Yarrowia lipolytica: one gene and its partner. The main gene of each other region encodes a partner of the protein of the gene in region 2 in a complex. Links are inferred from orthologs where the notes say so. Each region holds a gene or a part of one and is shown on either strand. Other genes may lie near its edges.

Region 1 (4,391 bases), on a different chromosome or scaffold from region 2:
GATATGGTTGGTTTGTTTTTTCGCTTCCGGTTCCAATTTTCAAGTCGGTGTAGTGGGCTTGTTTTCCCCGTGGGAGCATGCTTATATCGGAGCTATCTATGCACGGTGACCGAGTTTAAAGGGGCTGTGCTAGGGGGGTGTACCACAGCCTACAACAGGAGCATTTCGGAGGACACACAGCATAGAGTGACCGACGGACCAACAGGAAGAGGACACGTGACCTTTAATCTCACCCGATTGTTGCTTTTTCCACTCTATCAAAACACGGTTTGCACCCTCAACGGCCCCACTGGTCTATGAAGCCGGCCCATTAAGATTGTCATCCATCTACAATTGTAGGTCACCACCTCCACTTTTATTCATCCACTCATGTGAATGAACAAGGTTACATTGTGCCTATTACAGGTAACACCGATAACAAAGTTTGTGTTATCTCCAAGGAGATATGACGATGGAAACTACAGTATCTACAACTCCAAGTGCCGATTACAAATACATTAGTTGTCTTCCTTCTCCATATATAATAAATCATCGCATCCTACTATTTGAGCAAAGGAGCCACCTTTTTAGCCAACATGACAACCTCGCTCTTGGAATCCCGCATGTCCTCTCCATCGCCGTCAGCCCCATCAGAGTTCATGCTGGATAGCTGGTGGATGGCATCGACAATCTCATTGGAGTTCTTGAGCAGATCCTTAAGACGCTGGTCCTTGGACTCCAGCAGCTGCAGCACGGTCCACACGGCAATGTGGCCAAACGTAGAGTCGCCGCTGGTGAGGAACCGGATCAAAAACTCCCGGATTCCTCCGCTGGGCTCGTTCCAGTGGTTGACAAACGTGTCGTAGTTGCCCACCTTGGAAGACAGGTTGCCAAGCGCAGCGGCACTGTTGCCCTGCACCTCAATGTTGTCCGACAAGGTGAGGGGAATCAGAACCTCAGCGATTCCCAGCTCCAGCAATGTACCCTTGAGCTCGTCTCCGAGAGCGAGCACAGCCAAGCATGCAGTCATCTCGCTCTGGACCAGTCGAGGAGCGTCCAGCACTAGCTCCTTGCACTTCTGCACGGCGCCGGCCTCGACAATCTCCAGCTTGTTCCGCTCAGAGCTGGCAGCGAGATTTCGTAAGGTGGAGATTGTGTGGCACTGAATCTCCTCGTTGTCGCTAGCGCCCAGCAGCTCCACCAGCGTCTTAAGGAAGCCGGCCTCAATGATGGGGGTCTCGTTGAGAGGGTGGATGGAGATGTTTCGGATGCAAGCGACGGCCGCAAGAACCAGCGGCGTGTGAGTGGATTGGAATAAGTTAAACAGGTGGGGGAGGCCGTTGGCCTTGACAATCTCCAGCTGGTAGTCGGAGTCGCTGGCGAGGTTTCGCAGAGCAAGAGCAGCCTGGCACTGGACCCGAGGAGAGCCGGAGTCCATCAGCTTGATGAGATGCTCCACCAGCCGGGGCTCCGAGCTAGACAGCTTCTTTCGGTTGGACTCGTCCACAGCAATGTTGGAAAGAGCGGTGGTCGAATAGTACTGCACATCGGGGTCTCGCGACGACAGCAATGACACCAGAATGGGGATGGCGCCGGCGTTGACCAGCTCCTGTCGATTCTGGTCCGAGTGGGTCATGTTGAGAAGGGCACCAGTGGCGTTTCGCTGGACTCGCATGTCCTTAGACTTGGCGAGCTTGGTGAGTGGCAGCAGAGCGCCGGAGCGAGCAATCTTGGATTTGTTGGCCTCGTGGGTCGCCAGGTTGGTTATGCATCCCACGGCGTTGCACTGCACCTCCACGTTGGGCGACATCATCTGTCGGATGAGGGGCTCGAAGCCGCCCATCTCGACGATCAGCACCTTGTTTTCGTTGTTGACGGCGAGGTTGCCCAGGGCAGCAGAGGCTGCTCGCTGGATGTCGGGGTCGGTGTTTTGCAACAGCAGCAGCACGGGCTCGAGGCAGTCTCGGTTGACGGGCCGGATGTCCTTCTCTGTAATTTCTGCAAATGCGAGGGCGGCACTTCGCTGCAGGTCAATGTTGTCCGAGTAGACCAGAGTGCTGAGGGCTCGGAGGGGCCCGTTGGAGAAAAAGTCCACTTCGCCTCGGTTCTCGAGGTATCGCAGCAGGAGAGCCACGGCTTCCCGTTCGTCCTCGGCCAGCACGGGCGCGTAGTTGCCGTCCTGTTTGTTTCCTGGGTTAGTGACGACTGTGGGGCGGGGGGGAGCTGAACAAGAGAGACCAGACATACGCTGTCGCCCCATTCTGTCTGCAGCACTTGCTGCCATCTTCGCCCTTGCAAGACCCGCTCTCTGTCTGTGTACCATACTCACCTGAACAGCAGCTCGCACAAACACCCATCTTAGCTATTAGTCGAGGTAATCAGAAGACGTGTGTATATTAATGGCGGTCAAGTATCCAATCTGTCGCTTCACCGGGATATGGACCAACTAGGCTTTCGAGATGTCGACGTTTGTGGTGGTGTGACGGCGGTCTTGTGTTGCTACAAGAGAGTGTGGTGTGTGTAGTCGTCGAAAGTGCAGTAGACTTTGTGTGGGAGGGGTGTGTGAGAAGGGTTGCACAGTGCACCTAAATTGAGGTAAAACGGGGGGGAGGAAGGGCGGCGGTGGGAGCTATGATGCACAAGTCCGGTGCAACAATACCAATATAGGGGCGACATAATCCACGTAATAGGAGCCTACATAGCAACGTGACAGGTGTGAGACCCTTGCCCCGATCCGGCAGCGACATACCAGCACCTTTCTCTCTTTCTCTTGACGCTTCCCTCCCGCTCTACCTTTGGCTCTTCTTTTTTTGGCGTGTGTCAGATTGGTAATTTTGCCGGCAATTATACTTTGAGATTCTGAGCCTCGCTTCCCAAACGGGGTTTGTTAGTACACGCACCCTCTGAACTAACGAACTAAGGGGCAAATGGTGATAATTGGTCAGACGGTACACTGGAAGCAAAATAGCCGTCAAGAGAGCCTGGGGTTACATGCAACGCATATACGGCGTTGGAAACACCGAAAACACATGTTTGGAACACCCGCAACCCGCTCCAAGTCAACTAATCTATGCCTCCTACAGTCACCCTACCGCGTCTCGTATATCGTCGTCTAAGCACGACATACTCTACAGTGCCCAGTGTATACTCTACTGCAAAAGCCCCGGTGCACCGGTTCACCAGCAGAAATCAAGGCTAGGGAGTCTCTTGGGGCTGCCATCGTTGGGGGAGGAAATCAGATTGCTATTTCAGACTGCAATCAACGTCGGGCCCTTGTAATTGGACCATGTAAATTAGTTAAATATCGGGCGCAGCAAGCCCGTGGGATTATCAGCGCTTGCTGCTGTAATGCTGCATGGTCAACTAGAACCCTGAAGCTTAGTACTTGTAGGTTAGTTGGCCTTGTAAGCAAATCTCATGAGATTGCTTTGAGACGAGCCAGGAACACGCTGCACGGTCAGAGGAGAAATGGCGCTCTTCTTGGGACGCGCTTGCGGTGTGGAACTGGGCGTGATTGTGGGCGTGATTGTGGGCTTTTTGGCAACACCAGAGGAGCCTGTAGGAGTCACTACTCGACGCTTGGGCGTAGAGGCATTGTATCCAAACTCCTCAAACAGAGTAGACTTCCGCTTGGCACAAGTCACAGGTGTCTGCGGTAGCGTGGTGTCTTTGTTTGGGGTGCCAAACACGATGCTGCTTTCTTCAATGTCATCGTCGCTTCGGTCAGGCTCTGAACTCAACATGGTATTGAAGTTGAAGGGCTTGTTCTCCTTCTCAGCCTGATCGGGACTCGAAGGGATGGAGAAAAAGTGACTGGAAGTAAGCGCGGGGGACGTCTTCGTTCGGGTTGGACTCAACATGTTCTCCGCAGAAGCTGTTCGCACAGCCAGGTCAACCGGCTTTGCCACCAGAACAACGGGCTTCTTGCGGCGCAGCTGTTCGGGAAGTCGCTTGACATCGCCTGTGTACTCATTTTTGGGCGCAAAGAATCCCCGTAGATCGGTAGGCTTGGCTGTCTTGTTGGCAGGAAAAGTCTTATGAGTTCGAGGGTGCACCAGTCCAGTGGCTATTGCTCGCGCCAGACCTTGTGGAATCTCGGCGCCAATGTGAAAGTCGACCTTTTCGTCCAGCTCATCTTCAGGCTCATTCAAATGTACCAGCCTACGAGCCTCGGGGCAGTAGACTCGTTGGTAGAGAAATGTAAAGTTGGCAGCATGGAATCGTTCTAAAAAGTCGGGTGAGGAGTTGTATCCGTCCATACGAAGAGCCTTAATGATAGCCTCGGGAGTTTGCCATCGTCGAATGTACCGAGCAGCTCGTTTAGGACCCACGTTCGGCACTCCATCGCAATAGTCACAGCCAGATAGAATAGCCATGTATCTCAGGTACTCCAGAGGAACCTCAGAGCCGAG
Region 2 (4,754 bases):
TCCAGCTACATTTCTATACAACTTTTACTTCTTCACCACCTCTGCAACATTGGATTTGAACCCCCAGTAACTTTTTCCTTTAACAAATTCCCAACTATAACTAATCCAACTAGCCTCGTTAATTGTATGCTTCCATCTCGCTCAATAATACTCGGATTGCCACCACGAGAGTTGCTTTCGCTTCGGAATCGTCCGCTCTCTAAAATGGGCCCTTCTCCGATGTCTGCACATTTTCCCGGGACTATGTGCGCCGTATCGTTTGCTCTCGCGCTCGCATCCGTCGTTTCCCAGCAACGATAAGCCCGATATTAAAAACAGACCTAATCTGATGCGCATAAAATAGACTCTGGGGATCCTGTGACTGGAGTGTCCGGATCAGACGGCAGGAAGATACGTCTTTGGAGATTGCGGAGAGACGTCCAAGTCATGTGACACGCGGAGGGGGGGAGGGGGAGAATTGGGTCACGTGACCGGCCCCATGGTCGCCCTCTTTGCCTTTTTTCTGTCTCTTTTTTTGGTCCTTTTTCCGGCTCACGACACCGTGGCTTTCGGTGACGTAATCAGAGTCTAAAATGCACCTCATGTTCTGATAAAGACTCTGATAGCAGATAATGTAGGCTGTGCGTTTGGGGGGAGACTTGAGGGGTTACCTTATATATGGCTAAAAAAATCGGGGGCAAAAAAGCATTAAAATAATGAAAAAGGGCCTAAAAATATTTTATAAATATTTTTAAAAAAAACCGCTAGTAAATTCGAAACGCCGCTGGTAAATTCGAAACGCCGCTGGTAGATTCGGCTAGGGAAACTCCCCCCGGACATTCTTTTTCTGCCAATTTCCCGCAATTTCCCCTTTCAATCTCGCCATTCCACCTTCCCTTATGAGTCATGTCTGTCACTGGTGCTACAAGTAGTGCAAGTACTGTACGTACATACTGTACATAGATTGTAGTAGGTGGATACCGACAGTGACGGATACTGGGTGGATACTGGGTTGTTGGCGGGAAATGGGTCTGCTGCAATCAAACTGTTTATGAGTCACACATGCTTCTTCGTCTCCCTTTCTCTCTCTCTTTCCCGCTCCAGTCTATACGCCATGTGGGTAAATAACTCGACGCCACCTGCTCCTGTAGCTCCTGTCATACTGCCCCTTATAGAGACGTTGTATCTTAACGTTATCAGAGGTGATTTCTCATGCAAGGGTTTGGTTTGATTACCGGCGCGGGCGGGCGCGAGCTGGGCGGTGGCCACGTTTTGTGTCTGGTTGGCGGGCAGTGGTACCGGGTCAGCAGACGGGTTTGGCAAGTAGCGGCGGTTTGCGGTAGCAGGGAGGCAGTATCACGAGACTGGCTCCGTTCACGTGACAATCCCTCGTAGTGCGTCTGGGCTGCAAGGCCATGTTGATGTGGGCCTGAAAGTAGGTTGACTGGCCAAACCTCCTACTATTATTCTGGTTATTGACTCACTCGGAGCAACTGCCCTGTGACGAGACCGCCGGCCGTTTTTTTCTTCTCTTCTTTGCGAGTGGCACAAACAGACGGACACAAACAGACCGACACACGCCGCTGACACCAGACACACTCTTCTGTGGCGTCACCTCCAGACCGGTGACACACACACAAGCACAACTGCGGACACGAACACGGACACAAACAGCACAAACAGCTCAAACAGCTCAAACAGCTCAAACAGCTCAGCAGAAGAGCTCACCACAAACACCACAAACACCACAAACAGCTCAGCACAAACAACACACCACACCACAAACGCATTCTGGTGTCCAGACAACAGCTGCTAGACACAACAGCACTCACAAGTCGTAGACACAACCAGCATGTCGTTCCAAGGCACGTCGTCCGGGTCGTCGCACTCATCCAAGTCGAAACTCAACCAGGTGGTGCAAAACTTTTTCTCCAAGGCCACCCAGGTGGTGGTGCAGGCGCGTCTCAACCCCCGGCTGCGTGAACAGCGCCAGAGCGGCGACAAACACAAACTCAACAAATGGTTCAATCTCGAAACAGACGAGCTGGAGGCCTACCGTGAAGATCTCAAGCTGTGGCGAACCATCGACATCTACAACATGGACAAGATGCCTCCCGTGGTCGTGGAGACCTATCTGGACATGCGCCATCTTTCGCCCAACCAGACGCTGGTGCTAGAAGACGCCTTTGGCAAACGGTGGAACGCCAGCTTTGGAGGAAGGAAAACAGAGGTGGTGCTGGAGCGGTGGGTCATTGAGATTCAGAGACCCGACCCCCAAGCAGGAGGAGCTACAACGTCCCCAGCGTCGTCCACAGAGCTCCCCATGGCCTACAAAAAGTGCATCTTGCTGTTCCGCTCTCTGTACACTTATTGTAGGCTGCTGCCAGCGTGGACGCTGCAAAAGCGGCTTAGCAAAAGCAAACTGAGCACCAGTCCGCTGCGCATCGGCTGCAGGGTGCTTAACGGCTCACAGCCCATCTCTTCGCGTGGGCGGGTTGGCTTGAGCAAACTCATAGCTGGGAGCTCCGAATCCCAGCATCTCCAGACCTTTTCGTTCGACCCCGTGGAAATCCCCTCGGGCGTCTTCAAGATCAGCGTGAGCTACCGGGTCAACTGCAACTTTGCCGTGGACGACTCGGAGGCCATGCTGTCATCACAGTTCCTGCGCATCGACGAGGAGAAGCCCGTGGTGCCCCCCAGCCCGCCGGTCAAACACCCCTCCATGGCGGCCCCCAACTTGCATTACATCACGGGCCTGCCACGGAGACATTCGCATTCTCAGGGCGTGGGAGTGAGTGGGGCGGCCATTGTTCCCACCTCTGTGTCATCTGTCACAGACTACATGGAGAGGAGAAGGAGCAGTGGCGCTAGTGGAGTTGGAGCAACTGGAGGGGGTCTTGCTGGCACCTCTGGAGGCTCTGGCGGAGTGAGTGGAGGAGTTAGCGGCGGATCTGGAGGCTCAGGGGGCTCTGGTGGCTGGGGAGGTGAAGAGGGCTCGCCTGGTCCCGCAGCGACCTCGGCTAGCCCCTCCACACCTCCCTTTGCGCGTGTCCCCTCATCCTCCTCCCTTGCGGCGCTCCGAATCCCCCGCAGAACTATCTCAAACTCGTCCACGTCCTCCACCAATAACGCACGGGTGGTCACCACGCCTGGGTACACGCCTTCGGCGTACGAACAGGCGATTTCGTCGTCCGGAGGGTCGTCACGTTCCGGGTCCGTGCCCAAGTACTCGTCATCGTTCGGTACAAGACAGTGGAACCGTTCAGGCTCGATCAGCAGCACGCGGCGTCGAAACTCAATGCTGGTGGGCTCGGCTGAGTCGGCCATGTCTTCGGGCTCCTCTCTTATGGAACCTGGATCGGGTTTTATCGACATTGAGGATCCCACCGACGTGTCCGACTTTGTCAAGATGGTGGACTCGATCAAACCCGGGTCCCCGTACTCGCTGCCGTCTCCCCGCAAGGGCAGCGATCCTTTGGCGCGGTTCCAGCAGCTCAAGGGATCGCACGCGGGTATTGCCGACAGCATCACGTCATCAATCTACCACCACCAGCCCAGTCCTCCGTACGTGCGGTCCAAACTGAGCGGCGAGGCGAACCTGGAGGCGATTTCAAGCCTTCCCCGGCCCGTGACGGTGCCTCCATCGCCTCGCAAGCTAGAGACGCAGATGCAGCCCATTTCGCTGGCGGACCAGCATACCAGCGAGTACCATCAGCTGCAGCAGCGGACCAGTGCCCGTCCCCAGGCTCATTCGTACTCTGAGCGTGACCAGCTTGATAACTCTCATTACAAGGCGTTGGAGCGATATGATCTTGTAGGAGCTTCTCCAAGCGTGGTGGGCTCTAGATATTATACCGAGCACGACCGGGGACGAGGCGAGAAGCGATACTCGGTGGCTCCATTGCCGGGTCTAGAGTTTGACGAGGACGATGATTTGTTGTTTGCCATGAGTGATATGGCTATGGGGGATTCGGCTTCTGGAGGAAATGTGAGGACATAGTCTTGTGTTTCCGAGCACACCTCCTAAAAGATGATGGCATACACTACCAGAGTACCAACACCAGCAGAGGACATAACTTATATCAATGACACATACTTATTATATTTATACGATTTACAGAAGGGAGATATGCCACAAGTGTAGGCAGTACATACTGTACTCGTAGGAAGACCTTGAAGGGCACTGACCCCTGAACTAGCAACGACCCATATCGGCACCCATGACTCAAAATGGGTATCATTATTATCCGACTGCGGGGGGCTCTGTACTAATATATGTAACTAGCTGTTTTCTTGTCTACACCATCAGTTGTTGACATTTCTTTATCCTACGTCACGTGAACATATCACCACCACGGAAGGTTTCGGGGCCATATGGGGAAAACGGGACGGCACTTTGTCGTTTCATTGGTACGGATATTTGTTGATATTTTTACATTGAAATACTTTCCCGACTCAGGGCTATCTTTTGGTGTAAAAAGTTGTTTGGTGGCATGTATATTGGGTAAACTGACTTCACCAGTCTCAGAGATGAGTGTAGGTCTGCTTTTTCGATACCAACGAGGAGGGGAATCACGTGAGCAGAGCAGAGCAGCCACCATTTTTACAGTCTTATTCCAGTGCTGCATCACTGTAGACACTCTTTCAGGAGACTCTGATTTTATCTGCTATTTTTCCACATTTTTTCCGATTTTCGGCCGGATATTTCACGCTTCCGATACGCCTGCATTAGGCTGCATGATATCGCAGATTCACACCCCAAGTCACACTACTAC

What was found.
Region 1: the proteins of YALI1_F04848g (region 2) and YALI1_E17037g are in contact, whole or in part, in a crystal structure (PDB 6KBM), measured with the Saccharomyces cerevisiae proteins. The link is inferred for Yarrowia lipolytica from reciprocal best matches to the Saccharomyces cerevisiae genes ATG13 and VAC8. Residues at the interface, in NP_015511.1 of Saccharomyces cerevisiae: Arg661, Ile662, Pro663, Ile664, Arg665, Gln666, His669, Tyr670, Ser671, Gln672, Pro673, Thr674, Thr675, Ala676, Phe678, Gln679, Ala680, Gln681, Ala682, Lys683, Phe684, His685; in NP_010903.3 of Saccharomyces cerevisiae: Val103, Ala107, Gly110, Asn111, Cys144, Asn145, Gly148, Cys149, Thr151, Asn152, Thr155, Lys160, Arg182, Asn186, Gly189, Leu192, Asn193, Thr195, His196, Arg201, Tyr226, Tyr227, Thr230, Ser233, Asn234, Val237, Arg242, Gln270, Arg276, Asn277.

Annotation. Positions count from the first base shown.
Region 1 is NC_090774.1:1,701,466-1,705,856, forward strand, and holds YALI1_E17037g (uncharacterized protein), read right to left. Parts: upstream 2,303-4,391; coding exon 542-2,302; downstream 1-541. Other genes in the region: YALI1_E17065g (uncharacterized protein), read right to left, coding at 3,372-4,391. UniProt on the Saccharomyces cerevisiae protein: Functions in both vacuole inheritance and protein targeting from the cytoplasm to vacuole (cvt). Involved in the formation of nucleus-vacuole junctions (NVJs) during piecemeal microautophagy of the nucleus (PMN).
Region 2 is NC_090775.1:481,926-486,679, reverse strand, and holds YALI1_F04848g (uncharacterized protein), read left to right. Parts: upstream 1-1,831; coding exon 1,832-3,979; downstream 3,980-4,754. Other genes in the region: YALI1_F04860g (uncharacterized protein), read right to left, coding at 321-506, 557-583; YALI1_F04855g (uncharacterized protein), read right to left, coding at 744-986, 1,042-1,140; YALI1_F04849g (uncharacterized protein), read right to left, coding at 1,452-1,662, 1,708-1,769. UniProt on the Saccharomyces cerevisiae protein: Activates the ATG1 kinase in a nutritional condition dependent manner through the TOR pathway, leading to autophagy. Required for autophosphorylation of ATG1 at 'Thr-226' and its dimerization. May also be involved in the regulation of autophagy through SNF1.